3 linked regions of the Ovis aries genome follow. The protein of the gene in region 3 interacts with the protein of the main gene of each other region in a pairwise test. Links are inferred from orthologs where the notes say so. Each region holds a gene or a part of one and is shown on either strand. Other genes may lie near its edges. The genes, in order: RAP1A, RND1 and PDE6D.

The links.
Region 1: the proteins of PDE6D (region 3) and RAP1A interact in a two-hybrid assay, tested with the Homo sapiens proteins (2 studies listed by BioGRID). The link is inferred for Ovis aries from reciprocal best matches to the Homo sapiens genes PDE6D and RAP1A.
Region 2: the proteins of PDE6D (region 3) and RND1 interact in a two-hybrid assay, tested with the Homo sapiens proteins (2 studies listed by BioGRID). The link is inferred for Ovis aries from reciprocal best matches to the Homo sapiens genes PDE6D and RND1.

Annotation. Positions count from the first base shown.
Region 1 is NC_056054.1:89,056,593-89,067,238, reverse strand, and holds the start of RAP1A (ras-related protein Rap-1A), read right to left. Parts: upstream 6,548-10,646; 5' UTR 6,418-6,547; intron 6,407-6,417; exon of another isoform or gene 1,132-6,406; intron 1,088-1,131; exon of another isoform or gene 223-1,087; intron 1-222. UniProt on the Homo sapiens protein: Counteracts the mitogenic function of Ras, at least partly because it can interact with Ras GAPs and RAF in a competitive manner. Together with ITGB1BP1, regulates KRIT1 localization to microtubules and membranes.
Region 2 is NC_056056.1:137,324,226-137,334,744, reverse strand, and holds the start of RND1 (rho-related GTP-binding protein Rho6), read right to left. Parts: upstream 5,379-10,519; 5' UTR 5,275-5,378; coding exon 5,155-5,274; intron 4,370-5,154; coding exon 4,282-4,369; intron 1,707-4,281; coding exon 1,597-1,706; intron 530-1,596; coding exon 395-529; intron 1-394. UniProt on the Homo sapiens protein: Lacks intrinsic GTPase activity. Has a low affinity for GDP, and constitutively binds GTP. Controls rearrangements of the actin cytoskeleton. Induces the Rac-dependent neuritic process formation in part by disruption of the cortical actin filaments.
Region 3 is NC_056055.1:233,478,396-233,489,039, forward strand, and holds the start of PDE6D (retinal rod rhodopsin-sensitive cGMP 3',5'-cyclic phosphodiesterase subunit delta), read right to left. Parts: upstream 6,401-10,644; 5' UTR 6,238-6,400; coding exon 6,188-6,237; intron 3,186-6,187; exon of another isoform or gene 3,114-3,185; intron 1-3,113. UniProt on the Homo sapiens protein: Promotes the release of prenylated target proteins from cellular membranes. Modulates the activity of prenylated or palmitoylated Ras family members by regulating their subcellular location.

The sequences.
Region 1 (10,646 bases), on a different chromosome or scaffold from region 3:
GAAAATAAATCTGGCAAACTACCAACAACATCACTAAAAATGCACACTGATGCATTTGACTACTATCTTTCAGTGGATAGTTCACTTCAGTGGCACAGGATGATTTTAATCATTGTAGAAAAAATATTAAGCTGTCCTTCCAAAAAACAAAAAAAAAAACCTCCCAAACGTCTCACATTAAACATTAGAATTAAAACTTAGCTGAACCAGGAAAAAACTTACCTACAATGTAGGATATATGCAGAAAAGCAACTTGGGAAAAAAAAGACCAACAGAAGTAAAATAGGCAGTTGAACAAGCAGTTCTTATTTTACTGTATAGTTTAACCGATGGGAGACTGGTTTGCTCAAATACTAAAAAGCTGTTAGAAAATAAGACCACAGAAATAGTTGTTAACAACTGAAAGAGAATCAAAATATCACAAAGATTTTACTTAGAAAATGAGTATTGTTCTATTTTTAATCAATCATGAAAACACAACATTTATTTATAAAACATATGTCAGGTTCTGGCAAACAAAATACATTACTAGACTATAATACTAGAGTAGAAACTACAGCCCCATGTCTCAGTTTCCATCAAACAGCTTAATACTGGGTCACTGAAACATCTGTTCAATGACTGAATCTGAAATCTATTAATGAAATTATGCAATATTTCCACAACTACACACTGAAATCTAAAAGGTAGCTTAAAAGACATCAATGATTTGGGATAGACACTGAAAACTACATAAAACCCAAAGATTAGTGTTAAATGTCAGCTGCTAAAATAATTAAGTTAAGGTTGCTTGCTTAATATTCTATACAATACTTGTCTAGAACAGAATGATCCTATGAATTTAAAAATACCATGAAAAATAGTGAATGAATTTACTCTCTGGATCACACATTTGACAGATCTGAAATGTTCAGTCTGCAATAAGAATTCCTACTATTACTAACTTAGAATCCTATATAAGTGGCATCTGGGCTTTGTCCAAAGAAACAGTTGTAACCCAGTTCTTTGTGTCTCTTCAACTTTATACTTTTGTCACTGATAACTAAGCTACAGTTCTGAGTGAGTATATACTTTTGTCACTGATAACCTAGCTACAGTTCTGAGTGAGTATATACTTTTGTCACTGATAACCTAGCTACAGTTCTGAGTGAGTGTAACATAGCACTGCAAACAACCATGCATGTTACAGGCACAGGTATGTATTTGTGAATTCAAAGTAAGTCATCTCAAGTTTTAATTAATCCAACAGTGTGTTTTATCAGTTATGTGTAGTTTAGTACATTCCTAACCTTATGAGGTATAGCCTAATTTAAATATATTCTGAAACCAGACATAGAATTATGCATTTAATCCTAAATTTGGTTAATTTTACCATTCCACACTTTGAACCACTCTCTATCAATGTGAACTAAATAAATAGGGTGGAGATAGGAAACTATCTCTATCCCTGGAAAAACTGGATATGCAAAGAAATCTTCTTTTCCAGATTTATCTAATCTAAATTTATACAGCCTAAATAAGTCATTAGAACTTTAAAAAAAGCCATTAGTCTAACAATTGAAAATAATTTCATAGACTATATTTAATCCTCCATGTGTATATCATGTACTTCTGAAAATTATAATAAAAGGATGGTTTTTAGACCGCTTAACAAAAGTACACTATCTCAACTCCACCTTAACCATCATACACAATTTCCTCTGCACCTTTTACCTCTACAAGGCCCATTTTCAAGTGGAAATGAGAACAAGGCACAGTTCTCTGCTGAACTGCTTAATGGATCAGACATTATGATAAACTAAGTTTATAGGTTCAATACTAATCTGGATCTTTTAACTTTGAAACAAACTGCTCTCTTAATCAGTCATCTCAAAACTGAATGCAAACGGGATTGGAGAGAGCATGTGTGAACCTTCATTGCATACTCATAGCCACTATTACAAAAATTCAACATGTAAAATGGCCAATACTTTCTCTGTGTATGAAAGTGAAAAGCACAAAAACTACCATTTGTAATCTCCAAATTTCAGACACACACAAAAGGGAAAAAAATGGACCCTTCATCTGTCTCAGTAACATAAGAAAGTTTAAGTATCTTTATTTTAAGCAGTAATCATTTCCATAATATACGAATTTGGCATTAAGTCATATAGCAGTATATGACATCAGAACGAGCAGAAAATACTTGACAATATGCCATAACTCTTTTTAAAATTGATGAGTTCAATTTGAAGGAACATTAGGAGGAAGTAAGTTTATGTTCACAATTTTAAACTCACCACAACATTAAGATATAAATGCTTTATACGAGATATTTTTACTGACCTTCTAAAATGAGAATTTTAGAACTGGGAGCTTAGAGGTTATATGAGGTTCAGTGGACATTTGCTAGGTCCCTAGCATGTGTGAGACACAGTGCTCGGTGCTTGCAGGTAAACTCCACTGGCTCAGCCCACTCACTTTACAGATGCTGGAGTTTCTGCTCATGTCAAATCAAGCCTTTTAGACTTCTGAATTGCTTAGCAAGGCCATCACAGTGGTATAATTCTATTAAAACAGACTGATATCATCCTTCCTCATAATCTAAATAAAATTTCAAAGAGGCAATATTGACTTAACAGAAACAATAGTCTCTGTGTTTTGAATAACTTATAAAGAATTACAACAATTTAAAAATTCAACTATGAGAGTCCTCAACTAAGTGCTAGTTGCATAATTTACTGCAAAGAACAAAACAGGAGGCTGCTGCTGCTGCTAAGTCGCTTCAGTCGTGTCCGACTCTGTGCGACCCCAGAGACGGCAGCCCACCAGGCTCCCCCGTCCCTGGGATTCTCCAGGCAAGAACACTGGAGTGGGTTGCCATTTCCTTCTCCAAACATGAGGCTATCAAAGATTTAAGATTCTAAAAACATACAAAACAGAAATTAAACTAATCGCTGATACCATTGAAAAGTCCTTTTATAAGAAAAAAGAATTAATATGAAAAATTAGGTGCTTGACTGGGATATCTATTCTTTATAAAAGATCACCAACCATATACTAACAAAGTTCTTGAGTAACAGTAAACACTGGCAAGATTTTAAGTTATTTAACTATGAGATCACAAATTATTACATAATATAAAACTTCCTGAGGGCAGAGACCCTGTCTAATTCAACTGTTATCCCCAACAATTAGCACCCTGTTATTAAAATGTTAAAGAGAGAGTTGAACAAACATTATGAACTCATGTGAGCTAGCTACTGGAAAATTCAACCTAATGACCTAAAAGGTCTCTTTTTATAATTCAAATTGTTCAAGTATTAAATAATATTCACTCAAGTGACACTGCATGAAACTTCAGATCAACAACTGTGGCTGTCACTTTAGCACAAACTACTCTCTGAAGGAATTAATAGATACACCAAGAAGACAAGTATATTTATATACTTTGATTTAGTAGTCCTTCTGGAAATAAATTCCAAGGAAATATTCAAAAAGAAAGAAAATTGTTGAACATACAAAAGTGTTCATTTCATTGTTATTTTCAATAAGGGGAAAAGGAAAGTATCTATATGCCCAAGGGCAGGTAGACAGACTAATTTGCAACCATGCAAAAAGGTTTAAAATGAACATTAACCTCCTAATTGGTCTTCCTGCTGCCACTCCCTGCTGCCTTCCCCAAGTTAACTTCCACATAGCAGCCAGAACAGTTCCCACAGACTTTAGTCAGAAGAGTTCTCTCTTCTACCCAAAACCCTCCAGTGGTTTCCCATTTCATTCAAAGTAAAATTCAAAGTTCTGACCATTGCCTACACGCTTTACAGTGGCCTCGGCCACTTCTCTAATCTCAAGTTCTCTCATTTTCCCTCCTGCTTACTGGCCTTCTCCAAAAGGCCAAGTACACTGAGTGGTCTCTGCCTGTTATCTTCTTCCCCTGGAGAGCATGAATTCCTCACTTTCTTCAGGTCTCTACTCCAGCATCATGCCTTCCCTAGCTACCCTTCCTTGCCACTCTCTGTATCCTCTAACCCCACTTTACTCTCTGCGTATTTCTTACCATCTGACTTATTCTGTATTTATATGGTTATGGCCCATCTCTCCTGTTTAGTGTATGAACTCCATGATAGCAAGGACTTTGTTTTATTCACATAATAGGCATTTTAAAAGCACTTGTTAAACAGATACTGAATACTGATACAATAATTATTAACTACACAAAAAAACATGCATATAAACAAACTTGCAAGAGAATAGGAAAAATGATCTGTGAACACTTTTAAGTGCTGATCATATTGCTAAGGAGTTAAACAACAAAAAATGTAAGTCAGTTGTGATTATGATTTTAAGCTGTCAGTAGTGACTATGACAATCTTATCTCCCTCAAAGCCATCTGTTTAGAAATATTATGAGAACTTTTCCCATAAAACTGTTAATAACATCAGTCTTAAAATCTTTGTTCCCAAAGACCCAAATAAGTCTGTGAGGGTAGACACACATGCTTGAGGTCACACAGAAGGTGAACAAAGCCTTCTGAACAGTTTTAATATAGAACTGAATAATACTCAGAGTTTACATTTAAGACAAACACACATGGTTGGCTTCAGAGAGTCCCTGAAGATGTAAAATTCTGTACCTAAATGTCTATTACTTCTTTCCTGAGGAGAGAGTCTATATGTGCATTTCATTATATTCTCAAAGGTGTTAGTGGCCCAGAAAAGGTTAATAATCAGTATTTTGTATGTTGGAAGTGAAGTGAAATCTAATTTGAGCTACCTCTCAAAGGATAGAAAATATATAAAACCAGACACATCTTTGCAATAACACATTTCATTCAAGAAATACCAAGTGCCTACCATGTGCCGGGCATGGTGTGATTTTTAGCACACCTTACACTTAACTGTATTTTGTAGTACATAATTCAAAATACATAGGAAACAAGATTCACTGAAACACCAGACTAAAAAGAAATCCAGCGAACACAAATATAATTTCAAACAGAAAGTGGTACAGAAAATCATAATACAGACAGAAAGGAGCTCAGGGCCTGATTTAGTGCTTATTATGTCAAAATATCCACAGATATCAGTTACATCAAAAGAGAAGAAAAACTACACACACGTGTGCCCACCCCCACACACTGTGACAGGAAACCAAAATAAAGTTTCCAAATCCTGTTTCCAGCAGCATCCCTTCTGAGACTGCCCTTCAGCATTCTTTTGAAGGTAGGAGCTTCACGTTAAAACCTAGGGCTGATACTTTACTCTTACTGTGATAAAAAAGAATCATCTCAAACCCAGAAAACAGAAAACTGTGGCCACCTGTACGGCTGTGACCCATTAACCTCCTGCCCTGTTATTCCCTTTCTTTTTATACCCCACTTCCTTCAAAGCAGTGACAGAATGGTCTTCTCCCCCCAAACGGAATGACTCCAGAACGCTAGTTCTTTTTCCAAGAGGTCGAAAGGTCCCCTAAACTCTGCTTCTTAGCCCTGTGAGTTGATGTCTTCCCCTCGTCTTTTCCCCATAGCAGTAAATTACACAATTCAGCTGAGGACACCGTCCTTAACTTCCTGAACAAGGGGGCAAAAAGACACTCCTACCAGTCTCAGCCTGAAGAAGACAAAAATCACACGGTGACCTCTTCCCTAACAAAATTCAGGGAAGAAGCAGAGACCCAAGAAAGGCAACGCCGAAAAGGCGAACACATGGCATGTTACGGAAGACGTGGGGGACAGAGGGCGGGAAAGGGGCTGAGAGGTGGAGTGGGGTGTAAAGATGTCAGCTCTGTGCACTAGGGGAATGAAGAAATGCGAGATCCCGAACCCTGACAAGTGAACACAGAAAGGGCACCGCTCCCGTCTACCCACACTTCTCCAGCAGTCAAGGGAGGTCAGAAAATTCACCCAACCCTCCAACTCTCTTCTTCGCGTGCCCCCCAAAGGGTGAACTGGGTTTGAAAGAAGAGCTGACCCTAGGCAGGGTACAAGCAAGAAGAAAAACGAAGCGATGTCCAATCTAGTACCTCTCTCAGGCAGCTAGGGGAGAGGGCACTGTGTCCGGGGAGATGGCGAGGGAAATGGGCTTGTGCCATGACACCTCGGGGAGTTGGAGGGTGGGGGACACAATGTCCTCTTTCTCTCCCACACCCGGCCCGGGCCCCTCCCGTCCCTCTCCCGCAGGCCCAGCCACAGTCGACCGGCTCGGTCCGCGGGCGTGGTTGGCTCCGGCCCCGGTGGCGGCGGCCGGGCCTCCCCGAGTCCTGGCCCCTCCCGCCGGCCAGGCCCCCGGGCCGCCGCCCCGGACACCGAGGGAACACGGAGGAGGAAGGGGGAGCCAGGGGACTGACCGGCGACAGGAGCCGCCTCGGCCCGGACTCGTCCGACCCGCGCCCCTCGCTCCCTCTGGGGCCGGCTCCGGCTCCCCGCCCCTCACTCACCCCCCCCCGGTCCGGCACCTCCTCCACCTCCTCCTCCTCCTCCTCCCTCCTCTCGGCCGTGGCTCCTGCTCCGGCTCTACGCGGCGACGGCGGCGGTAGCGGCCTCGAGAGCAGCGGCGGCGGAGCCTCCAGAGCGCGCACGCACGCAGCACGCAGACCCCGCCCCCAAGTTCCGCCCCGCCCCTTCGAGTCGGCGTCGGCAAGATTTCGGCCCCGCCTTCCCCGCGGCTTTCCGGAGTCCGCTTAAAGGGGCCGCGCAGGAAGGAGGTGGAAGAGCTAAGAACGCCGCGGGGGAGGAGTGGGGAGATTCGGCTTTTAGCTTGGGCTGGGCGACGGAGTGGGGAGGCCGGAAATGAAATGAGAGATGGTTCGAAGATTCAGGAGGAGAAGAATTTTGGAGGGAATACGACCATTTGACAAGTACTAGTTGAGTATCTAGTAGGTGCCAGGCACTGTCCTAGGCGCAGAGAAAAATGGAAGTAAATTAAAAGAAGCTTACATCTTGGAAGAAAAGTTATGACCAACCTAGATAGCATCTTGAAAAGCAGAGACATTACTTTGCCAACAAAGGTCTGTCTAGTCAAGGCTATGGTTTTCCAGTGGTCATGTATGGATATGAGAGTTGGACTGTGAAGAAAGCTGAGCGCCGAAGAATTGATGCTTTTGAACTGTGGTGTTGGAGAAGACTCTTGAGAGTCCCTTGGACTGCAAGGAGATCCAACCAGTCCATTCTGAAGGAGATCAGCCCTGGGATTTCTTTGGAAGGAATGATGCTAAAGCTGAAACTCCAGTACTTTGGCCACCTCATGCCAAGAGTTGACAAAAGACTCTGATGCTGGGAGGGATTGGGGGCAGGAGGAGAAGGGGACGACAGAGGATGAGATGGCTGGATGCCATCACTGACTCAATGAACGTGAGTCTGAGTGAACTCGAGGAGTTGGTGATGGACAGGGAGGCCGGGCGTTCTGCGATTCATGGGGTCGCGAAGAGTCGGACACGACTGAGCGACTGAACTGAACTGACCTGAAAGGCCTTCATGGAGCTTGCATTCTAGTGGTTGAGAAGAGACAACAAACAGATAAAAATTTCAGAAAGTGATAAGTCAAGTGAAGAAAAATAAAACCAGGAATAGGATGACTTCATAGATGGCCAAGTGTTGCCCCTCAGAGGAGCCCTATAAGTACATACATGTATGACATGAAGGAATAAGCCTAGCAAATACCTCGGGAGGGGAGAGGAAAGGGATGGGAGTCTTACCAAGCTGAAAGAACCTCGCTGTACGCGGTTAGCCTGGTATGTTGCAAGACCAACAAAAAAGGCTAGTATGGCTGAGTGTAATCAGCTAGCCACAGAGCAGTAGTAGGTTGAGAGAGGTGATGGGGGAGATCAGATCCTATGGAGCCTTATGGGCTGTTACTAAGAGCAACAGAAAGCCACAGGAGGGTGAGCAGAGGAACGACCGAATCTAGTTCACATTTTAAAGAGTTACTCTTGGTATTATGTGTAAAATGCACAACAGGGAAGCACAGATGTCTTCAAGGAGACCAGTGAGGAAGCTCTTTGTGGTTGCTCGGACTAGGATGGCAGCAGAGAAGAAGTGAGAAGGGGTGTATCAGAATGTATTCAGATACACTTTGAATTGGAATGGATTTGGCAGAGAATGTGTGAACGAACAAAAAGCTCATGGCTGATTCTTAAGTTCAGGACCTCAAGGGTAAGTTAGTGGTGGTATTATTTAGTGAGCTGGAGAAGATTTAAAGGAAAGAAAATTTGGAATGAGGGAAGTACGAATTCTGTTTCATATGCTACATAAAGTGCTTGTTCTACATCCAAATGAAGATGTTGAGTAAACAATTGGATGGATATATGAGTCTGAAGATATGAATTTGGGAATCATCAGCACATAGATGCTTTTTAAGCCTTAGGTCTTACATAAAATCCCTTAGGAGGGAGAGTAGCTAGTGGAGAGGAAGAAAATGAACTCCAACCTTTGGAAATTCTGTAGAAGAGGAGAAGGAACTACCAGATAGGAGCCACACCAGGAGAGGGTGGAGTGTTGGAAGATAAGAGAATTGTTTGAGGAAAGTGGGAGTGATCAGCGTTATCAAATACTGTCGAAATAAATAAGGTGAGGACTGAGGGTTTGAACACTGCATTTGACCTGATGAAGGACGCTGATGTCCTTGAGGAAAGCAGTTTCAGTGAAGTCATGGAGGAGAAACTCTGATTAGGGTGTGTTAACAAGAGATGGGAGGTGAGGAAGAAAAATGTTTATAGCAAGTCTAAGCAGCTCTTGAGGACCTTTGCCCTCAGGATCCACTAAGAGAGTGGAGTACTTGGGATCGTTGTTCAGTCGCTCAGTTGCATCCAACTCGTTACGACCCAATGGACTGCAGTGTGCCAGGCTTCCCTGTCTTTCACCTGAAGCTTTCACCCTGTCTTTCACCGTCTCCTGAAGCTTTCTCATTGAGTCGATGATGCCATCCAATCATCTCGTCCTCTGTCCTCCCCTCCTCCTGCCTTCTGTCTTTCCCAGTGTCAGGATCTTTTCCAATGAGTCAGTTCTTCGCATCAGGTGGCCAAAGTACTGGAACTTCAGCTTCAGCATCAGTCCTCCCAATGAATAGTCAGGGTTGATTTCCTTTAGGATTGACTGGTTTGATCTCCTTGCAGTCCAAGGGCCTCTCAAGAGTCCTATCGAACACCACAGTTCAAAAGCATCAATTCTTTGGCACTCAGCTTTCTTTATGGTCCAATTCTCACATCCGTACATAATAGTAGTAGTAGTGTTAGTCACTCAGTAGTGTCTGACTCTTTGTGACCCCATGGACTGTAGCCTGCCAGGCTCCTCTGTCCATGAGATTCTCCAGGCAAGAGTACTGGAGTGGGTTGCCATTCCCTTCTCCAGGGGATCTTCCTGACCCAGCAATTGAACCCTCCTCCATTGCAGGCAGATTCTTCACTGTCTGAGCTATAGGGAAGCCCCCAAAAGACTACTAGAAAAACCATAGCTTTGACTAGATGGACCTTTGTCAGCAAAGTAATGTCTCTGCTTTTTAATATGCTGTCTAGGTTTGTCATAACCATTCTTCGAAGGAGCAAGCGTCTTTTAATTTCATGGTTGCAGTCACCATCTACAGTGATTTTGGAGCCCAAGAAAATAAAGTATGTCTCTGTTTCCATTGTTTCCCCATTTATTTGCCATGAAGTGATGGGACTGGATGCCATGATCTTTGTTTTTTGAATGTTGAGTTTTAAGCCAGTTTTTTTCACTCTCTTCTTTCACCTTCATCAAGAGGCTCTTTAGTTCACTTGTTATTTAGGGGAGGTATTTTAAAGATAGGAGTTGTTTCCTTATGTTGGTATGCTGGAATGATCCTTTAGAGAGGTAAAGGTGATGGTGCAGAAGATAAGAGGGGGCAGATAGAGAAAGCTTGTCCTTCAGTGGGTAAAAAGCAATGGGACCTAGCGTAGAAGTGGAGGAGTTGACTGTGGATAGGAGCAAGGACAGTATTTTAGGAGAGAAGGCAACGTCTATGGGCACAAACACAGTTAGGTCAGGTATTAAATTTGGTGATGGCCTATTCAGGCCATGTCTGTGCAGGAAGCATGTGGGAGCTGAAATCCAGCCTCTGTTTTTCCAACCAAGTTTTGAGGCCAAATCAGCCTTGAGGAAGCGGCACCTTTTCTAATTTCTCCAACTGCAGAGGCAGTGCCTTTTAGAAAATCCTCCGTATCATCACATGCACACATACAAAGTCTGTGTGCTTCTTTTCCCAGTTTGTACCAAATATTCTTTGTGCAAGTCGCCTCCATGGGTTTGATGAGGTCAATCGGGGCTGTTGAGCTTTCTTTTATTCTTAGCAATAGGAAGCTGTGAGTGGGGAAGGGCTGTTGGGTATATGAGATGGAAGCTGTGGGAAAGATGGAAGAAGTGAGAAAGAATTCCTTCAAGGAGAGGAAGTGTAGTATGGACAAGGCTGAGGGTCTTCTTGAGTTGGTGGTCCTATATTTAAGTGAGACCACTCAGCAAGGTTGTATGGTTTTTCTCCAGCCACATTCCATAGCTTGCGGGGTTGAAGGAGAGGTAGATTTGGCCAGGGGTGGATTTTGCTGATGGAAGTCCTGAAAAGGGGAGGGGTGTAAGTCAAGGAGTAGTTATAGTGATAGACCTTAGAATCTAAGCTGGGAGGGAATAGCTGTTTTGCTGTTGGTCGCTAAGTTATGTC
Region 2 (10,519 bases), on a different chromosome or scaffold from region 3:
AGACGTGTCCAACCCTGTGCATCTCTATGGTTTGTAGCCCACCAGGCTCCTCTGTCCATAGGGTTCACCAGACAAGGATACTGGAGTGGGTTAGCCATGCCCTCCTCCAGGGGATCTTCCTGACTCAGGGATGGAACCCATATCACTTATGTCTCCTGCACTGGCAGGCAGGTTCTTTACCACTAGCGCCCCCTGGGAAGTATGAATCTGGGCAAATTGGTATCCACTACCTCTATCCAGGTAACTAGTTTGCTGATTATAGATGGCCCCCCAGAATACCAGTTCTCTCTTGCTATAGTGAAAGAGTGTGAGCAAGAGCCATTTTCCAAGCCCTCTCCTGTAGCCTTCCCCAGCTCAACTCCCAGCCCACACATGGGCGTGCACACACACACACCTGCTCATAAGAGATGGGCGCCTGCTTCTGGTGTGACAGCTCCATCAGAGTGCTCAGGTCTGTCCTCAGGTCGGTCTTACAACCAATAAGCAAGACACGGGTGCTGGGACAATAGTCAAGGATTTCCGTCCTCCACTGAAGAGCCGTGCAAGAAGATAGGAAGGAGGAAGGAAGGAGAGTCAGTGGCTGACGGACACCCGGAGGAACCCAGCTGGCAACATCACATACACCATTCCACTTATCCCCAGCCCTCGCTGTGAGTCACAGCATCGCCACTGCACTAATTACATCATCTTCCTGCCCATGAGGCCTTTGGGGCCACAGGAGTGCTGACCCAAGAGTCTGTCCCCAGATTCAACGGCCCAGTCTCCAAAGAGAGCACAGGGACAAATCTCTCACTCTCCACCAAGCATATGGGGCACAGGTCCACCCCCTCAACCCAAAGGGCTGCACAAGTCCAGAAAGCCAAGAAGCCGACCAGTCTCTTTCCAAGAGATAATCCCGGAGTCTTCTGAGAAACTGGGCTAGTTCCGCAAGGTTTCCTGGGACTCCTCAGTATGGGTAGACCTTACTACCATGACTGAGGCATTTCCTACCAGCAGTTCAGCTCAGGCCTGCCTGGCTAAGTCCCAGAAGGCCTGTGATCAAGGTCTGTAAAGCTGCCACCCAAAGGCCCCTCCTCCAACTCTCAAACCATATCACCAGAAAGTTCTCTGCTCTCAACCCTCACTTCCTGAGTCTTCAACACCACCCTCCCCTGCTGGGCCTCTGGCAGATCAGTGCAGGATAGGGGCGAAGGCAGGATGAAGAGGGACTGGAGATCTGGGTTTAGCCCCAGTGTTTAGTGGCTCAGTGTGTCTAACGCTTTGCGACACCATGGACTGTAGCCTGCCAGGCTCCTGTGTCAATGGGATTGTCCAGTCAAGAATACTGGAGTGGGTTGCCATGTCCTCCTCCAGGGAATCTTCCTGATCCAGGAACTGAACCCGTGCCCCTGCACTGGTAGGCGGATTCTTTACCACTGAACCACCTGGGAAGCCCCTCTGGTCCCAGAACTGTAGCTAATGGTGTGGCCTTGGGCAAATCTCTTCCTTCCCTGGCCTCAATTTCTTCCTATACAAGAAGGGTTAGATGACCAGGTCCCCAAGATTCCTTTTTGTTCTCCAGCTGAGCTAGAGATGGTAGAATTCATTCAGCCTTACCTTCTTGAGTGCACTGTCCACAGTCTCTGGACGGCTGATATCAAAGCACAGTAATACTGCGTCCGAGTCACTGTAGCAGAGTGGACGGACATTGTCATAGTAGGGAGATCCTGGTAGAGGGGAGAGAGAGCTGATGGTAAATCATGGCACTTTCCCTCCCCTAGAGGCCTAAACCCAAAGAGCACTGGGAACACCATGCTTGGTCCCTTAAGGGAGAGGGCCCCACCTATTTCCCAGGGGAAGGTGCTGCAATGGGAAGCTTGGCACCTGACCACCTGCCAAGAGACAGTGCAAGAAGGTCATCTTCCTTAATCCTGAAGAAGGGAAAGGGTGCAAAATAAAAGGGACGTGAAGTATAATCGGGCCCTGTCTGGATCTCCTACAGTGGGCTTCATTGAAGGTCCACCAGTTTTCTGAGTCCCAGGGGAAGCGCCTCCTACTCCTGCAGAGAGACCAGGCCTTGTTTAAGGTCTCTTTTCTAGAATCTGCCTGATGTCCAACCTCTGCTCCTGGCTTCTGCTCCAGGGTCTCCCCAGTGAAGAAACACATCTGCCTGTTATATAACTGGCTGCCCTGCTTCTTTGCCATGGGGTCAGAACTCTAGGAGGCAGGCAGGGGAGGGAGAGCATCAGGAATTCAGGGTCCCACTGCTCCTCCCACCCAAATAAGCTTACACTGGAAAGGGCAAAAGGAAAGTTGCAGCCCCCTGTCCCATGATCTCAGGGAGGCATTCTCAAAGACAGCAACACCAACAGCTGGGATTTAGAGGCTCTCGAATAAGGGTCCATGGCTGGGAGGGGAGTAGGCAGTGCAGACCCAGGTGGTCCAATGTGGGAGAAGGCTGGAGTTTGAACCTGCCCCCCTCCACCCTGGGGAAGGAACAGTAGCAGCTTTGGAACCCAGACAATCCGTGCTCAGAATAGCAAGCAGCCCCTCTCCCTGAACCGCAATCGCCATGGAAACTGGGGGGAATCCAAGCTGAGGCAGGGGGTTGGTTGTTCAAAAAAAGGAGTAGAGGGGAGTTGGGATAACTGCCTGCTCCTTCAGCAATCAGCCCCCATCCCTCTCTGAGGGATGAAGTGGGGTCTCATCACAGTATCACTGAGCAAAGGGAACACTGCAGCCCTGGGGAAGGAGGAGGAGAGGAGGCCTCCTTTCTGGCTCTAAGCGATCCCCCTCCCCTAAGACCAGCAAGTGAATAATGGCCCCCGTGCTGGGAAGCCCCATCCCACACAGCCCTGCCATTCCTCCTTCCTTACGGGCATCTCATTTGAAAGAGGGAGTTTGAGGCCGCCGACGGACAGCCGGCATCCTTTGGGAACTTGGGGGGTGGGGATGCGGCACAGGGAAAAGAGACCACCTTGCTGATCTTCCATTATCTGAATTGGGATTCCAGGACTGCATTCTGACTGTGGGAGGAGGGGGAGGGGCTCTTCGGGGGCGGTGGTAGTGAAAAGAGATGAGCTGCAGGAAGATTCTGGGAAGATTGAGAGGTGGGCAGAGTACAGCAGATGAAAACCCATATATCATGCAGCCGAGCTGCATTCCAGCTCAATCCAGCCAGCGTAGCACAGTCCGGATAATCAGAATGCTGGCTCCCAACCCCTGGAACTGCAACAGAGGGAAGCACACCAGGTGGAGGAATTTCTGTCCTGTTTTGGGGAGTGGGGAGCAAGGGGGATGTCTCATTTTCTGATTACCCATATCCTACCTCCAGTCTTTCCAATCCTCAAAATTGGATGATGGGAATAATAGATCTTTGGAGGAGTAGGATGGCATATTTATATGCAACAGGAAACCCCTAGTGATTTATAGTTCCTCTTTAAACTCAGCATTTTTGAAGAGAAATGGATTTTATTTTCTTTCTCATATTTCTGGCTTTTAGCCTTTAATTGATTCCGAGCTCAGTCTATTTTAAAAGGGCTGGGGTAAAGAGATAATGGAAAGGGGGTCAGAGTGAAAAGCAAAGGATAGCCTAGCACTGAAGATTTAGGGATGAGAGACTTAAAACATTGCTTTTCACATTCCAGAAAGATAGAGCATCTTCTACCTCAGCCTAGTCAGAGCCAACAGCCCCCTGCTATGTACAACATGACCATGACCCATTTGAGCCCCCACCCTCCAAAACACTGACGATGCATCGCTTCATCCCTCAGCCGCAGAGGCATGACAGTGGGGCTGAGCTGCGGCAGGCAGGCAGCAGTGGCCAGAGATGAAATGCAGAAGAGAAAACTGAGTCAGGAGCAACATTTTCCCCAAAACAGACTTGTCTCCCTGCCACAGCCACCACTGCCTCCTGCCTTTTATTTGGCTTTGCTCTGAGGCAGTAAAGGCTGTGAGTGCGTGTGTTGGGTGGCAGAATGTGGAAATGCAGAAGCCCTAACTGCCTCCTCCAATAGTCTTCTGGGGTCCATTCCCCTGCCCATTCCAGCTCTCCAAAGGATGGAGCCAGACCAAGAGAAGTGATAGCTTCTGGGGTTCATCCATTCTCCACCCCTGGATGAGCCAACTGAGTTAGCCAAGCCCCACCCCACCCCTCAAAGAATCTTCAAGTCTCTCTCTTTCAGTCTCCGGGCAAGCACCATACTCCTTCCCCCCGTCAGAGAGAAAAACAATTTCTAAGAGACAGCGACTGCAACAGACCAGTGCGGGTGGGAAAGGGGCACTCGGGGCCAGCAGTCTTACCTGAAGTGTCCCAGAGACTGAGCTCCACTCTCTGTTCCTCTGTCTCCAAGCAGGCTGTGTAATTCTCAAACACAGTGGGCACGTACGTCTGTGAAAAGAGGAACTGTTCACACCTTGGATGTACCAACCCTCAGAACCCTCCAGTTAGTGCTGGCTACACAAGAAGCCACTCACCCTAGTGAGACACCAACGTGGCAGGAAAGGAGAGGATACCTGGGGCAGGAGGGACCACGTGGGACAGGACAGAGGGGTGTAGAGGCTCAGGCACTTTGCTCCATCAAAGTGAGAAATGTAAAAGACTTCCTGCCAGGGACAATCTCCCCATATCCTAGACGGTCAGGGAGACACCACAGACACACACACACACACAGACACACACACACACACACACACACACACACACACGGATTCCTCTTGTCCCCAGATTTGCCTGTCTACAAATTTCAGAGCCACAAATCAATTCTAGCTCTTTTTCTCTCCACAGGTCCCTTGGACCAGCAGGGCAGCAGAAGCCTGCCTGGGGACAAGCGCATAGAATGGGTGAAGGGACGGCAGGTATTACGTCAAGAAGAAACCCCTGACTCTCAAATGCCTCCAGTTCCCTCTCCCAAGAGCAGACTCCAGGATGAAGAGAGGTAGGAGGGGATTTGATCAGGGACCTATGGGTGAAGAGGTGAGGAGGAGCCAGCTGGGCGGCAGAAGTGGAACAGGTCTCAGGGGAAGCTAAGGCAGGGCGGTCCTCCAGCCAGAAAGCGGCTGAGGATGGGGAGGGGTGGGGTGGGATGAAACAGCTCCCCTGGGCAGGTGGGAATCTACCCGCAGCAGCAGGCTGTCAAAGAGGAAAGGTGGCCAGCGGGCGGGCTAGCAACTCACCTCGGGATAGCAGTCCTTGGCCAACACCTGTAACATTGCTGTCTTCCCACACTGCACATCCCCCACCAGAACGAGCTTACATCTGGCCACGACTGGCTGGGGGGCCCGTCTCTCCTTCATGGCTGCAGCCTCCGTGGGACCTGGACTCGGATTCAGAAAGGAGATGGTTACGCCAGGTGCGTCTCAGCACACTCCCCAGCCGGATTCCCTGCCTCTCTCCAACTGAGAAAGAGGCCAGTACGGCCACCTTATATTGCCATGGCTGAGCCAATCACAAGAGAAGGCGGACTCTGTCACAGCCAATCCCTGAGGTGGGATCCCCTCTAGCAGCCAATGGCAGGAGGATCTGAGTCAGAACCCTCTTCTTCCCTTCCCTTTCTCTTAAAGCTGCACCGTTTCTTGCTTCCTCTGAAAGGGAATTCCCACGTTGTTCTGCGTTTGTATGAGGTTGGGGTGGGGGAAAATGAACCAAACTTTAATGGTCTTGAGTGTCCACCAATTAGTGTCAAAAACAACAAACTAGCCAAGAATGTGGATAGTGAAGTCAAGCTGGAGTTGTTCCAGAACAGGACTTGCCTAAATTGTAGCCTGGTGGCACTTCCTTGGGGAAGGGGTGATCCCAGAAATCTCTGGCCCCCTCTTTCCATCTAATCCCCACTCGGACCACTTCCCGCTTCTGGCTTCTTTTCACAGAATCTCCTGCTGGACCCCCTTATTAACTCGGTTGGACCCCTGTCAACACCCAAGTCTCTTCCTCAGAAATCACCTTCACTAAAAAGTACATAAATTAAACAACCTTCTTGCGTCATCTGGAAAAAACCCACAGAGCTTCTGACCCAGAGATGGGCACAGAGAAAGGAATGAGGGAGTCTGGCAAGTGGGGAGGGGCATGAAGAGGGCAAAACAAACAAAGTTGCTGTCTGTTTGGCCAGACGACCTCTCACCCCAGGCCTGGCAGGAGCTGCTTTAGGGATGTTTGTTCTGCCTCTTGGGTTCAGCTTCCTGGATGAATCAGGCACAGGTCCAGTTTCAGGTTGACACCTACTGACGCTGCTGTACTGCGTGTGTCAGCTGGTTGAAGTCCAGACTGGAAGAATGGGCCTGGGACTTCGGGATTCGGAAGCTGAAGGGCAAAATGAGGTTGAGATGAGCTGCGTAACTGCCTGCCAGCCCTTGGCCCTCAGAGCCCTTCATGTTACCGCCTCTCCACTAGACAGAACCAGCTTGAATAACCTACTGATTATTCAAGAACCAAAACAGTCTAGATGAGGCCTCCTGGGGGATCAGGGATTGAAGTGAGACTGACCCTGGGCAAAAGCGGAGCACTCCAGACTTCTCTGGGTCCCTTCACCTTGGGAAGCCCAGTGCCTCTGGAGCACAGCCTGAGCCCTATTCCCTTGGAGCTTTACTCTGACTTGCCATCACTGCTGCCCCACTGGGGCAGGGGAGGGGAGTGTGTTCCCTGTTACATAGGATGTTTAAAATCTTCCCTGGTCCCGAAGGGACAGGATTGCCAACACCCTCTATAGACAGGAGAATGGAGAGTATTTTGAGAATGTAGCCTAACCAATGTGTGTGCATGCTAAGTAGCTTCAGTCTTCAGTGTCTGACTCTTTGCAATACTATGGACTGTAGCCCACCAGACTCCTCTGTCCATAGCATTCTCCAGGCAAGAATACTGGAGTGGGCTGCCATGCCTTCCTCTAGGGGATCTTCCTGATCCAGGGATTGAACCTGCATCTCTTATGTCTCCTGCATTGGCAGGCAGGTTCTTTATCACTAGCACCACCTGGGAAGCCCCAACAGTGTTGGTCAATCAGTCGTGTCCAACTCTTTGGGACCTCCTGGACTCCACGGACTGTAGCCATACAGGCTCTTCTGTCCATGGAATTCTCCAGGTAAGAATACTGGGGTTGGTAGTATTCCCTTCTCCAGGGGATCTTCCCCACCTAGGGATCAAACCTAGGTCTCCTGCGTCTAGTCCAAGTTGCCTGGCTGAGGGTCCTGGGGCTAAGTCCTGCACTGTCCTCTGCCCTAAGGCCCCCCTTCCAGGGATCAGGGATCACTTCAGGGAATCTCCAAGGTAGAAAGTCAGTTACCAGATGATACCATTGGCTGGCTACCCTCCTCTCCCAGGCAGGCTCTTTGGAATCTTCTTTCCCCTACCATTCCCCAGGTCTCATCCTCAGCCCTAAGATAATGTTCTGTCTATAGAATTTGTCCTCTTCCTGCCCTTTTGCAGCAGCCTGACAGCCTCTCTGAGCTCCCCATAAACATGTTTTGGGAGTGTTCCAGGCACAGCTGTAAGATCACAGACTGCCTCAGCCTGGAGTCCTCTCCCTCAGCATGACTTTTTCCCGGTGTCTCCCTCCCTCCATCTCATCCGAACTCAGTTCTGGAAGCTCCAGTGTGGTTCCCATACAGCCTCTTAACCCTTAACTGGGTTCCCTCCAATGGCAGCCCCAAAGGCTTTAGCCCTCTCTCCCCATGTTCTCTCCCAGCCTCCCCCTACACGCACCCGCTCCCGAGGCACTCCAAATAGTATTCAAATAAGTAAAAACTGTTCTTGCTATGCAAACAACTTCCTCTAACTTCTAACAAGATTGCCACTCCTGAGGTCCACTGAGATAGAAATTCTGGGAGCTGGTGCTAACACTGCTTCCCTGAGTGGTTGCATTTCAGGGGAGGAAAGCAGAAAGCCTGAGCTGTGAGACGGAGCAGCCCCCATCATGGGGCCTCCTGGGGATCAGGACTGAAGTAAAACTGACGTTGAGCAGAAGGGAGAGCTCTCCAGACTTCTTCTCTAGGTCCCTTCACCTTGTCAAGATGTGTCTCCGTAGATATTTTGTGGGTCACGTGTTTATGAATTATGGTGGGAAATGTGGGGAGGGGGTGTGTGTTCAGAAGGCAGTGTGGCAACATGAAAGGAGGATGGAACCAAAACTCAGCTGGTCTGGATGTTGGACCAGCTCTGTCCTTAACAAGCTATGTGTGTTTGGGTTAGTCTCTCTGGGCCCCTAGTTCCTTGAACGTAAGGTGAGGGGTTTGGACTAACGAAGGGGTTTTTAGCCCTTTTTTTTTTTTTTTAGCAGTTAGGCTACCTCCCCCAAGTTTGTTTAAACCTCTTCCATGTATCTTTCTTTAAAAATCCAAAACCAGAGTAATAAATGTATAAGGTTGTATTTTCCTATGAGGCTGATTCTTTGCAACCATGTGGACTGTAGCCTGCCAGGCTCCTCTGTTCGTGGAACTCTCCAGGCAAGAATACTGGAGTGGGTTGCCATTCCCTCCTCCAGGGGATCTTCCTGACCCAAGACTCAAATCCAGGTCTCCTGCATTGGCAGGCAGATTCTTTACCACTGAACCACCAAGGAAGCCCTCCTATAAGACCAGGAAAATTTAGGTTATACTTGAAAACATTATGCTAAGGTGAAAGGAGCTAGTCACAAAAGGCCATATATTATATGATTTCACTTGTATGAAGCATCCAAAACAAATCCAAAGACACAGAAAGGAGATTAGGGCTGTAAGGGTTGTGGGGGAATGTAGAATGTCTGCTAATAGGTGCGAGGTTTCTTTTTGAGGTGACAAACGCTTCTAAATTTGATTGTGGTGATGATTGTACAACTCTGTGAATATACTGAAAACCACTGACTTGTTTAAATTAGTGAGTTGTATGGTATGTGACTTATATCTTGATAAAGCTGGTAATTTTCCTGACATTTTATTTATTTATTTATTTTGGGCTGGGTCTCTGTTGCTGTGCAGGCTGCTCTCTAGTTGCGGTGAGCAGGCTTCTTGCAGTGGCTTCTCTCATTTCGGAGCACGGGCTCTAGAGCACAGGCTCAGTAGTTGTGGTCACGGGCTCAGCTGCTGCTCGGCATGCAGGATCTTCCCGGACTGGGGATGGAACGCATGCCTCCTGCATTGGCAGGTAGATTCTTTACCACTGAGCCACCAGGGAAGTCCAAAGCGGTTACTTAAAAAATAAATAAGTTTATAATTTCAAATTTTCTTTACAATCTCCTTTAACTTGTTTTTTTTTCCTTAGAAAAAAACTTATTGTGTGGAGATGTTCAAATATTTAAAGAAATAGAAAAATACAACGAACCCATTTGTAACCATCACCCAGCTTCAACAATCATCCACACAATCCTACTTCACCTATACCCTCACCCAGCTTCTCCCCAGTACACCTCCTCACTGGACAATTGTAAGGCAAATTTGGATGTCATATCATTTAATCCATAGAGGTTTCAGTACTCATCTGAAAAATAAAAAGATTCTTCATTAACATAATCAAAATACCATTATCCCCACCAAAAATAAATAACTCCTTAAAAATCACCAAATAGTCAGTCAGTGCTAAAATTTCCCCAATTGTGTCATTCATTGATTTAGTTAACTAAATCACTGGAATCTGAACAAAGTCCACTCACTGAATTTCACTGATATGGCTCTTAAGCATCTTTTATTTCATAGGTTCCATTTCCTTTTCTTCCCTATAGTTTACCTGATGCAGAAACCACGTTGTTTATTCTATAGTGTCTTCCATAGTCTGGATTTTGCTGATTGCATCTCCATGGTGTTGTTAACATGTATTAAACACTTTTACAAATTACATCTCATGCAGTATTGCCAAACACAAAAAGATGAAAAGCAAAACTTCTGCGGTTAAATCAGAATTAGGGACTTGGGATGGGACTCACTCAGCCCCCCAGTTTGTCCTAGGGGACAAACTCCAGGGAACACAATTTAAAAGCCACTAGCCTGGATATCATGTGCGTGAGTGTATGTGTATGTGTTTGTGTGTGTGTGTGTGTGAGTGTGTGTGTACCACACCTTCAAAGCTCAGGGCTGTCCTATCTTTTTTGACTCTGATTACTGTGATAAGGTCCTTATCTAGGACAGTGACGTAATACACCAAGGTGTTCAGGGTGGTAGCAAATTCAAATCCACTCTGACTCTTAGCACAGAGTACACAAACCCAGGACTTTCTCTGCCCTAGGGATCCTTACAAAGAGCTCCCAGGGACACTGCCACCTGTGTCCCCCAGGAGTCTGGAAGGCAAGGCCCACTCACCCCTCCTTAATATGACTCAGGCGCCCCACTTCTCAGTTCTAAACCATAACTTCTCATGACCTCAGGGATCCCTGGCTCCTAGCCATGGGAACACCTGACCCTTTGATGGGGCCTTTTAGCTGGAGCAGTCACTAGAGTGCTAAACAAGATTTTAAGACTCGGTCCCCATCTTCATGGAGTTTACAGCTTATGAGGAAGAGATAAAACAAGAGCCTGGCGGGTAACTGAAACAAGTGCTGTAGGAGTGCTGAGAAGGGAGAGGTCAGATCTGGTTGGGTGATCT
Region 3 (10,644 bases):
TTCTGGAGAACAGACTACCAATCACAGTCTCCATGCAGGCTATGATCTATGATCAAAACAACCTGTTTGGGGACTTCCCTGGTGGTCCAGTGGCTAAGACTCTGTGCTCCCAAGACAGGGCCCAGGTTTGATCCCTGGTCAGGGAACTAGATTCCACATGCCAAAAGAAAAGATTCTGCAAGCTGCAACTGAGACTTTGGGCAGCCAGATACATAAAATCAATCAATATTTTAAAAAAGTCTGTGTGTTCACAGGCTGTATGGGTGGTGTGTTTTACTTTCCCCAAATTTGGGGTTGATAAGATTAAAACTATATTTTAGGAATTATAAACTCCGGACTCACTTTTAACACTTGGTCAAGGTATCTCTTAGGCAATACTGACATTCAAGAAAGTTCAACAGTCTACTAGTCTTAACGAGGAAATCTAAGTGACTAGATGATGCAAAACCAATTATTTTTGACTGGAAGTAAAGTCAAAGATCAAGGTGCTCTGAGAAAGAGAAGGTGGGGGGATCCAGGAGCAAACTATAGAGAGGAAATGCAAGAACATAAGTGAAAATTGCTTTCAGAAACCTCTGAGTCAAACTTGTTCTTTTTTTTGCTTACTGCCATAAATTGGAATGTGACTAGTTGCTAGAAAACAAAATAAATACTAGGTATACATCAATGCTACTTAACTGAACCATTTCTTCAAAGAAGCAAAACAGATATTATAGCTGTTCAGTAAGAACGACAGCATGAAGTCATTGGTTATACCTCAGAAAAATAAGTGGCTTTCCCTGTTGGCTCAGAGGGCAAAGAATCCACCTGCAACGCAGGAGACCTGGGTTTGATTCCTGGGTTGGAAAGATCCCCTGCAGAAGGGAATGCCTATCCACTCCACTATTCTTGCCTGGAGAATTCCATGGACAGAGGAGCCTGGTGGGCTACAGTCCCTGGGGTCACAAAGAGTTGAACATGATTGAGCAACTAACACTTTCACTTTTTTCACTTACAGTAATATTAACATTACTGTTACTGTTAATAAGTATTAATAAAGCAAATAATATAGCACTTAACATTTATTACTATGAGCCAGGCACTGTACCAATCATTTTATATGCACTCTCATCTAATCCTTTTAACAACCCTCTAAAGAAATGAAATGGATCCTGAGGTTCAGAGTTGAGGGCTCTGCCTAGGGTCACAGTGGTAGAGGTAATAAAATCTGAATCTATAGTCCATGCTCCAAAGACTGCTCTGTGCTTTGCTGCAGCTACATATACACTTTTGATAGATACCAATCACTTTCCATAAGGTCTTACACAGACACACACACACACAGAACAAACAAAGCAGCCCTTTTCCCCAATAGTTGCCAACACTGACTATTATCAATCTTTTAAGTTTTTGTCAACTAATTGGGAAAAATTTTTTTTTTGGTCACACCATGAGGCATGTGGGATCTTAGTTCCTCAACCAGAGATCGAGGAACACTCCCTACAGTGGAAGCAGACGTCTCAGCCACTGGAACACCAGGGAAGTCCCTTGTTGTTTTAAGAAGGTTGTACATCTCTGAATTTATTCATTGGTCATTTGCATTTTTCTTCTGTGAACTGTTTTTCATATCCTTTGCCTATTTTGAATTAAGTATTTATCTTATTGATTTGTAGGCAGTCACTTATATTCTGGATATTATATTAATATTTAGAGCATAAGGAAATGAAGAAATAAAGATAATTAGCAATCTTTATTAAAAAATTAAATCACTGCTTCATACCTTATACCAAAGCAAATTCCAGACAGATTAAAAATAATGAGATCATAAGAGCATAATTCTTTCTTCTGGAAGTGTGTCAGTTTCTTGATATTAACTTAATAAAATTATAGATTTATGTTGAGGAAAAATTAATCTGATAGGCAGAACAGTGCATTACAGCCTACACTACAAAACTAGTATAAGGCTTCCATGACAAATCTATGTCACTGACTGCAACTCAAAGTATTAATACCTATCTTCAAAAATTATGAACATGATAAATTTGTTCAGTTTAAAAAGTTCCAAAATAATACTTATGATTCCATTTAATAAAAGGAAATACAATAAATATTAGCTACACTAGAAGACTATATTAAAATATTAACAAAGGTCATATCTAGGTAGCTGGAGTCTGTAAAAGAAAAATTAATACTATTTTTAAAAATGCATTGCTTTATAAGATATCCCTTCTAAACAGACACAAAAATAGTTAGACTTCTGAAGGGTCCGTGACTCATTCATTTTTATGTCCTTTAAGTGCACAGTGTCCTGTTCAGAAATCGACCAACAGACATTTATTGAATGAATAAAATACAGAATGCAGAATTCACAAACAAAATCTCCATATTAGCTACTTAAATGCTCAAATTCAAAACCTTGCAGGAGAATCACATTTGCTCCCCAAGTCATATTTTATTCACAACTTTAGTTCCTAAAGTGTATGAGCTAAAAGCAGGTGGTGTAGAAATGATGTGAAAAAGAAATCTTGGGAATTCCCTGGTGGTCCACTGGTTAAGGGCTCTGAGCTTCTACTGCAGGGTATATGGGTTTGATCCCTGGCTCAGGAACTGAGATTCTGCAAGCCTGAGCAGCCAAAAAATTTTTTTTTACTATTTCATTTTTGAAAAAACTTATGACAAATATAAAGTTCATGTTGGATTCTCTTAGACACAAAGACTATCCCTGCTTTATGAAGTATTGTTATTCATATTTATTGAATACCTATTATAAGCACATGGGCAAAGCTCTGTTTGTATAAACAGTACATGAATATTTATAAGGAACTTATATGACTTAAAACACATAACTGTGACATATCAATCCTATTGTAAACTATACTAAATCATGCTATAAAACTATATTAAACCAATGCATACAGGAAAGGAATGGGAAGAGCTAAATGGATCAGTGAAACAGAAATATTCCAAAAATACATCCAGGTCTTATGGAGACTTAGTACATGTACATGACAAAGATAGCTTTCAAAACAGTGGGGAAAGGATGGCCTAACTACTTAGTAAATGGTAGTGGACAGCGGTCTATCCAAACAGCAGAGGAAATTAGATTTCTACCACATACCATATGTATTAGCACTTCCCTGGTGGCTCAGAGGTTAAAGCGTCTGCCTGGAATGCGGGAGACCCGGGTTCGATCCCTGGGTTGGGAAGATCCCCTGGAGAAGGAAATGGCAACCCACTCCAGTACTCTTGCCTGGAGAATCCCATGGAGGGAGGAGCCTGGTAGGCTACACTCCATGTGGTCCCAAAGAGTTGGACACGACTGAGTGACTTCACTTCTCTACCATATGTATAAATACATTTCAGGTGAATTAAAGAGCTAAACATTGAAAAGAGAAAAAACATAGGAGGATATTTATTAACAGTAAGATAAGAAAGGTCTTCTTAAACAAGACACAAAATTCAAAAGTCACATGAAAAGTATTGATGAATTTATAGTATTAAACTTCTGTTCAACAAAAAAAAAGTAAACCGTCGAGAGAAACATTGGCAATATGTAATATACACAAAGGATTGACATTACAATAAAGAACACCTACAAAGCAATAAGAAAAATACGCAATTCAATAGTAAAATGGGCAAAAACAAAATCAACAAACAATTCACAGAAGAAAAAGAAATGGCCAGATTTTGTGACTTCTAATAATAACAATGGCAGCGATAACAGCTAATACAATGTGCTTACAGGCATCAAGTGCTTGGCTAAATGCTTTAGATATCAACTAATTTAATGCTCACAATAACTCTAGGAGATAAGATACTATTTTTATCCTTTTTTAACTGCTAAGGAAATTGTAACAGCAGTTAAAAGAAGCTCCTCAGGGACACACAACCTGAGCTGGAATTCCACTGCAGATAGTAAAGCTCTCAAGCCAGCGTATCTCTTAAACACTATGCTGTTACCTCTCCAGAGATAGCAGTATCTGGGAAACACAAGTTAAAACAAGATGTCATCTACTGTTAAAACTGACAAAAAGAAAAAGACCAACACAGTAAATGTGGAAAATAAGTACTATCAACATTGTTGGCAGGAGAATAAAATGGTGATTTCTTTTTGTAGAAATGACTCTTCTTACAGAAAAAGATACTTGGAACAATTTATACAATAAAAGGTGGATAACAGGTATTTTCTTATTAAAATATTAATTTTATTTTTCCCTGAAGGTAGTAACAAATCCTAGAACTCTTTTCTTTTCTCTTTTAATTCTCGGATGTGAATAAAAGCTACCAGAGGAGGATATTCTGTTGTCTCCACGCTAAATTTTCTTGGTGGCTGCTCCCCATGTGATTTAATCAGCCCCGGTCAAATTTTCCCTGAAAGCCTGTTTCGTGATGCACTAAACAACACAGGTTCTACTTTCTATTCTTTCCCATATTTGTCCTTTGCCTCTTTCTCAAGAGCCAAAGTTTCTCTTGAACAACATTCAAGAACCAAGACTGAAGGTGAGTAGCTCAAACTTTCCCTTTTTGGTTTGAAAGACCCGTTCTTATTTTCAGCAACATGTTAACTCCAATCAGATAAAAACATGGCTTCTGAAATCTCTCAATTCTTTATAGTCTTCAGTTTACTGTTTATAGCATAAATGTAAAGTAGCAATATAAATTACTTAAGGGAAAAATAAAATCCACGTCATAGCTTTTGTAACACTTCAGCCATTCCTATCTATAGGCACTATCAGGAAGAGAAACAGGGGAAGTACATGAAGCTATTAATATGTAAAAGAGGCTGTTAGGAAACTTCACTGCATGAAAGTATTTAAAGTTTATCATGAATGGCAGTAAGTTTAGGTAATATTGCCTTCCCTTAAAAAAAAAAGCATAGTAGGTCAGTTCCCCTTTGAAAAACTTAATTTGTACCTCCAAAACTTTCTGTTAAACTTTTTTGCTGCTGGGTTCTAAAACTTACTACCAACTTGGTTTCTGATTATGACAAGGCAATGAAAATCTGCAGGGGTGAAATGGACTCTGTGGAAACACAGTCAGCTCAGAGAACAGTGCTTGACTAAATCTCCAGGGGAGGAGCCCTACAGGGATGACTATATGTTCATTAAGAGACGAACTGAAGAATGTTCCATATTGTAAACATAGGATGTGAGAAGAGATTAAGGTCAGCAGGAAAATGTGAGATTGGAACGGAGAAGATTGCACTTTTTCCATCTGCATCAAATGGTCACAGATAAACACTCCATTCAAACACAGTTTCACTATGGTAAGAAGGTAGTATTTGCAGCACCACAACAGGCCCGAGGCAATGATTTCTACACCCTACTAAACCCTACAGTGTCCCCAACGTAATCAAACAATTGCTGGACAGTTCCAGCATGTCTACGCCTTAACCACACAAACTTGTGCGAGCAGACACACCCCTTCACCAGGAGTCCCAGTGCAAACCCAAAACGCCTCAAGGCATCTCACGCACACATCTAGGGTCCTCATTTCGCTAGAAAGACAACTGAGGAGCTGAGGGAGACTCAGCGACCGTCCAACGCCTCCAAGGGCCAAGACAGAGTTAAGGTGAGGTCCATCTCGGACTCCTCACTCCCAACCTTCCTCCGCTCCAGCCCTGGAAGGAGCCACAAGTGAGGAAGAGAAGTTGTGGAAACAAGAAGGGGAGTGGCGTCTGGGGTGGGGTTGGGGGGTGCGGAGTGGGATGCGAGAACCCCACTCGCATTGAGAGTTCAACACCAGCATCTGTATTTGTCCCACACAAGGTCACTCGCTCCAAGTCACTTTTCCCCCTGCTGCCCGGTGGGCTTCCCGCCAGAGGCTGCTGGGCTTCGAGGTCAGCCCACCGCGCCCCCTCGGCTCTCCCCTACGGGCCGCAGCCCCTTCCCGGCCTCCCTTCTCGGACCCAAGCGCGCCTCCCCGACTCCGGTTTCCGACGCCCGGAGCCTCTCCCAGCCCCATTCGGCGGCTCCTCTGCCTCTACCCACAGGTCTCCCATCAACGTCCCCTCCTTTCCTCCAGACGCCCCTTTCCCCGCCTCCCGCGCCGGGTCCCGCCGGGGGCCCCCGGACGCCGTTCCTGTTCCCCTTTCCCGCCACCCTCTCCTCGGGTGCCCACCTGGCGCGGCCCCCGCCCCCGGCCCGTCTCCTCAGCGAGCGGCCGCCTCCCGAGTCCTCCCGGCCCCGCCCCGCTCCCGGGCGGATACAGTTTGAAGCCCCTCAGGATCTCCCTGGCACGCTCGTCCTTGGCTGACATGATGCGGCGGCCGCCGCCTGCGGCTCTCTCACGCTGGCCTGGCGGAGCCTCGCAGACGGTGCCCAGGAACTGAGGACGGAGCCGCAGCCCGGCCTGAAGACCTCGGGAGAACAGCGGCAGCGGCCAGACCCAAACCGGCCTCTCCCTCCCCTCAGCTCCCGCTCCTTATCCCTTCTCCTTCCCTCTAGCCTCTGAGCGCCCGCCTTGAAGCCAATAGGAAGCCTGCCTCGGCGATTGGCATCTTGATCGACCAATAGAAACACTCAGCGGCTTCGCAGGGGGACGAAGAGCGTCAATGGGAAGGGCCCTCACGGGGAAGTCCCGTAGGACAAAATTTTCATTCGGCGTGGTTACCTAGAGTTTGTCCCAGAGGAGAGTTTGCTTCAGATTTGCAGAGGCTCTCCTGCGGCTGGGTACAGTAGGGCTTTGAGATGACAGCCCGTTGCCCTGTGCGATGTGGTGGAGACTACACTTCCCAGCATTCCAGGGGGCGCCCGGGGGGACCACAGATCCCAGCACGCAACAGAAAACCCAGGGACTACAAATCCCAGCATTCCCCGCACTCAGTTCCTCTAACTTCGATTCCAGTGTGCCGCGCAGTGTGCGCAAACCCCTAAATCTGCTTGTAGGCTTGGTGGTTTCTGAATCCCAGGGGTTGAAACCGGGCAGGAAGATCCTCTTCAGCCTCAAAAGATGACAGCCCACAGACAAGTAACTTCTATTTACATGGAACCCAGAAATCTCCTGCAAATCATGGTAAGGCTGAAACAACAAACACAAACACTGATTAAATCATGAAAAAGAATGTAACAGAATGACTCCTTCAAGCCGTACTTGTTTGTTGGCCTGGGGAGCCGGTTAGGTATTTCTCAGGGATTTCTGGTGTGCTCCTGCGGTGGACCAAGAGATGTAAAGGTTGTGTACTCAGACTATCAATGCAGTCAGAATTCAGAGGATTTGCTAATCTAACCTCTGTTATTTTACGTATGAAGAAACTGAGGCCCAGAGAGGCAGAGAGATTGTCGGGGTCACAGAAAGTTGGGGCAGAGTTAAAATTCAGCTCTAAGACTCCTGCAGTCTGGGCTTTTTGCACTACACTAGGGTAGTGATATTTTTAGCAACATGGCTATGCGATCTTCCTCTCCTTGGTGAAGTTTTCCTATCAAGGTTGAAACACCCAGAGGATACTGTGGACAAAAAAATGTTGCCTGACATTTCAGTAAACAACAAACGTTGCCCACCGTCAAGCCATCAGCCACTGAAGCCACCGCTGAAAATGGGCCCAGAGGAGGATTCAGGAGGGAGAAAAATAGGAACTTGCTCTAGATAATTAAGATGCATGTCTAGGGAATGATTTCAATGAGCCCAGACACTTGCATCTTCCCATGCATAGAAAACCACAGAAATCATTCTAGTTGTCTGTTTCTTGTTAATTGGCAGTAATCTTTTGATGTTCAACTACAAGCTCTCTTTTCAGCAAAAACTGCTAATATCCTGGCTCCTCCCTTTCTTTTTTGGAGCAGTTCCTCAGGGCTATATGAGGCTGTCTCCTGGGCTATAGTCCTCAGTAAGGTCCCTGTATAAAACATTACTTGCAAGTTTTAGGTTGTACGTTTTTCTTCAGTGGATATTAGGTGAACATTTATTTGGTGACTTTCCTGCAAGTGAAGGAGTGCAGTCTTTGTTTATCCTCAGTCTAGGTAAAACTTGGTGTTTTGATTTGTTCTGTGTTCAAGGGCTTCCCTGGTAGCTCAGACAGTAAAGCTTTAATATGATTTCAGAAACTAGATAAATACTGTAGTTTAAGCTAAAGTTTCTTTAGCGATCTGCTACTCTTTTTCTAGGCCTTCCTTCCTCTTCCTTTACCTCTTTTGCCCATCTGGGCACCCACCCAATTTTTCCTTCCGTGTGATTCAACAAACATCTTTTTCAGTTTTTGTTATTTGTCAGACTTTGTTGGTAGAAGGTGAAAGACATGGTCACTACCACCAGGAAGATAACCATCTAGTTAGGGAAATAAAGAGATTCCACTGAAATTCAAGATGAACTGTTAGGAACGGTACAAAAGAAAGGACATTAGAATGCTACAGAGGCCCCCGTGAAAAGATATATTCAGTTGGCAAAACTTGATGGAGGAGGTGGCAGGAGTAGGATTTTTTTCTATGTTAAAATTTTTATCTGTAAATTGTTTTTGTTAATGAAATATAACACATACAGCAAGGGCACAGTTTTTGCCTATGTATACACTTGTGTCATGAACCCCTAAATCCAGATAATGTTTCCAGCACCACTTTGCCCCTTCCCAGTCATCCTTCAGTCCTGATAATCACTCTTCTGACTTCTATTACCATGGATCAGTTTTGCCTGTTCTTGAATTTCATTTATTTATGTATTATTTCTTTATTTTTGGCTGAGCTGGGTTTGTGTTGCTGCATGCTGGCCTTCTCTAGTTTAGGTGAGTGGGGGCTACTGTCTAGTTGCAGTGCCCTGGCTTCTTATCATGGTGGTTTCTCTCATTGCAGAGCATGGGCTCTAGGGCTGGCAGGCTCAGGAGTTGTGGTGCACGGGCCCTATTTCTCCATGGCTTGTGGGATCTTAGTTCCCAGACCAAGGACTGAACTATGTCTTCTGCATTGGAGGGTGGATTCTTAATCACTGGACTACCAGGGAAGTCCCTTGAATTCCTATGTACAGTATAAGTCTGGCTTTTTTTGTTCAGTATTTTTGTGAGATTCATCTATGCTGTATGTAGCAGTACCTAAGTTTTTTATTTTTACTATTTAATTGCTAAGTAGTATTCCATTGTAGGTATGTAGCACTGTTTATCTTCTCTACTGTTCATGGACATTTACGTTTTCATTTACCAATTTTTGGCTTTTATTAACAAAGCTGCAGTGAACATTCTTAAGTGGTTCTTTTTGTGGACTCGTGCACTTATTTGTAGGAGAGAAGTTGCTGGCTTGTGTGGAGGGTGTGTGATCAGCAATAGTAGATATTGCCAGTTTTCCAAAATATTTGTACCAATTTTCACCTTAAACAGCAACATAAGAGAGTTCTGGCTGACTCTTATCCTTGGCGATAGAGAACAGTGTCAGTTTTTAAAAATCCTAGCCATTTTGACTAAAAGTGGTATCCCATTATATTTTTGTTTACATTGTCTTTGGTGTTGAATCCTTGTCATATGCTTGTTGACTATTTGCTATCCTCTTCTGCGAAGTGCTTGTTCAAGTCTTTTGCCCACTTTTTAAATTGGGCTGATTATCTTCTTGTTGATTTGTAGTTCTTTATATGGTCTAGATACGGAGATCCTTGTCTGATACACGCTTTACAAATATCTTTTCCAAGTCTGTGGCTTGTCCCTTTAGTCTTGTACTGGTGTCTTTTGAGAAAGAGCAATTCTTAATTTTAATGAAGGGCCATAGTTCAGTGTTTCCTTTTCATGATTAGTACTTTTTAAATTGTTTAACTCTTTACCTACATAGTTGGTGGAATTTGAGCAGACAAATATGAGGGAAGAGCACTGCACAAAGGAAGAGACAGCAAGTCTGAGCCTAGGCTCTGGTGTCAGAGAGGGAAGATCTGAGTCCTGTTGTGTTGGGATGGCATGGAGTTTGAGCTCTAATGGGGGGAGGGCAATGAGACAAAGCTGGATGGGGTGGGGGAGCCATACTGAGCCTTCAAATATGAACATTATTCTGGAGGAACTAGAGGCACAGCCAGAATATTTATGAACTTAAACAAGACTTATCAGTCCTCCTTCCAACACCAAATTTGTCCCTTCTCCTCCTCAGCCCTGTTCACTTACCACCACTTCCAGACAGCTCTGGCCTCCTCAGCCAGAATCCTGGGTGATATCTTCCTTCTCTATCCCTGCATTCAACTGGCTGCCAGGTCTGATAGATTCTATGGTCTAAACGTCTCCAACAAGGACCTTTCTATTTCAAGCCCAACTGCTGCCACCTTTGTTCAAGATCTCACATCTCTTAACCGGAATCCATCAGTCACCTCAAGGGTTTCCCAGCCTCTGCTGCTGCTGCTGCTGCTGCTAGTTTTCTCCATATCCAGTCCATTCCTATAGCAGCTAGTGTCCAAAATGGCAATTATTCAGACCTCTCCACAGCTTAAAAACCCTCAACAACTCCCCAGTGCCTCTAAGATAAAAGAAAACCTCTTTTACATGGCTTGTCCTCTTTCTGATTTGCTTGCTCATTCTTCCAGGCTCAACTCAAGCCTCATCTGCTCTAGAAGGCTGCCTTGAATCACCTCTCCCCAGGGCACAGTCAGGAGAGCCTTGGCTGGACTCCTGGGATACCTGTGGCACCATCTGTCCTGGCCAGACAGGCCTGTCTCCCCCAGAACCATGAACTCTCCCAGGTAGGAACTTTGCTGTATTTAGGTTTTTATGGG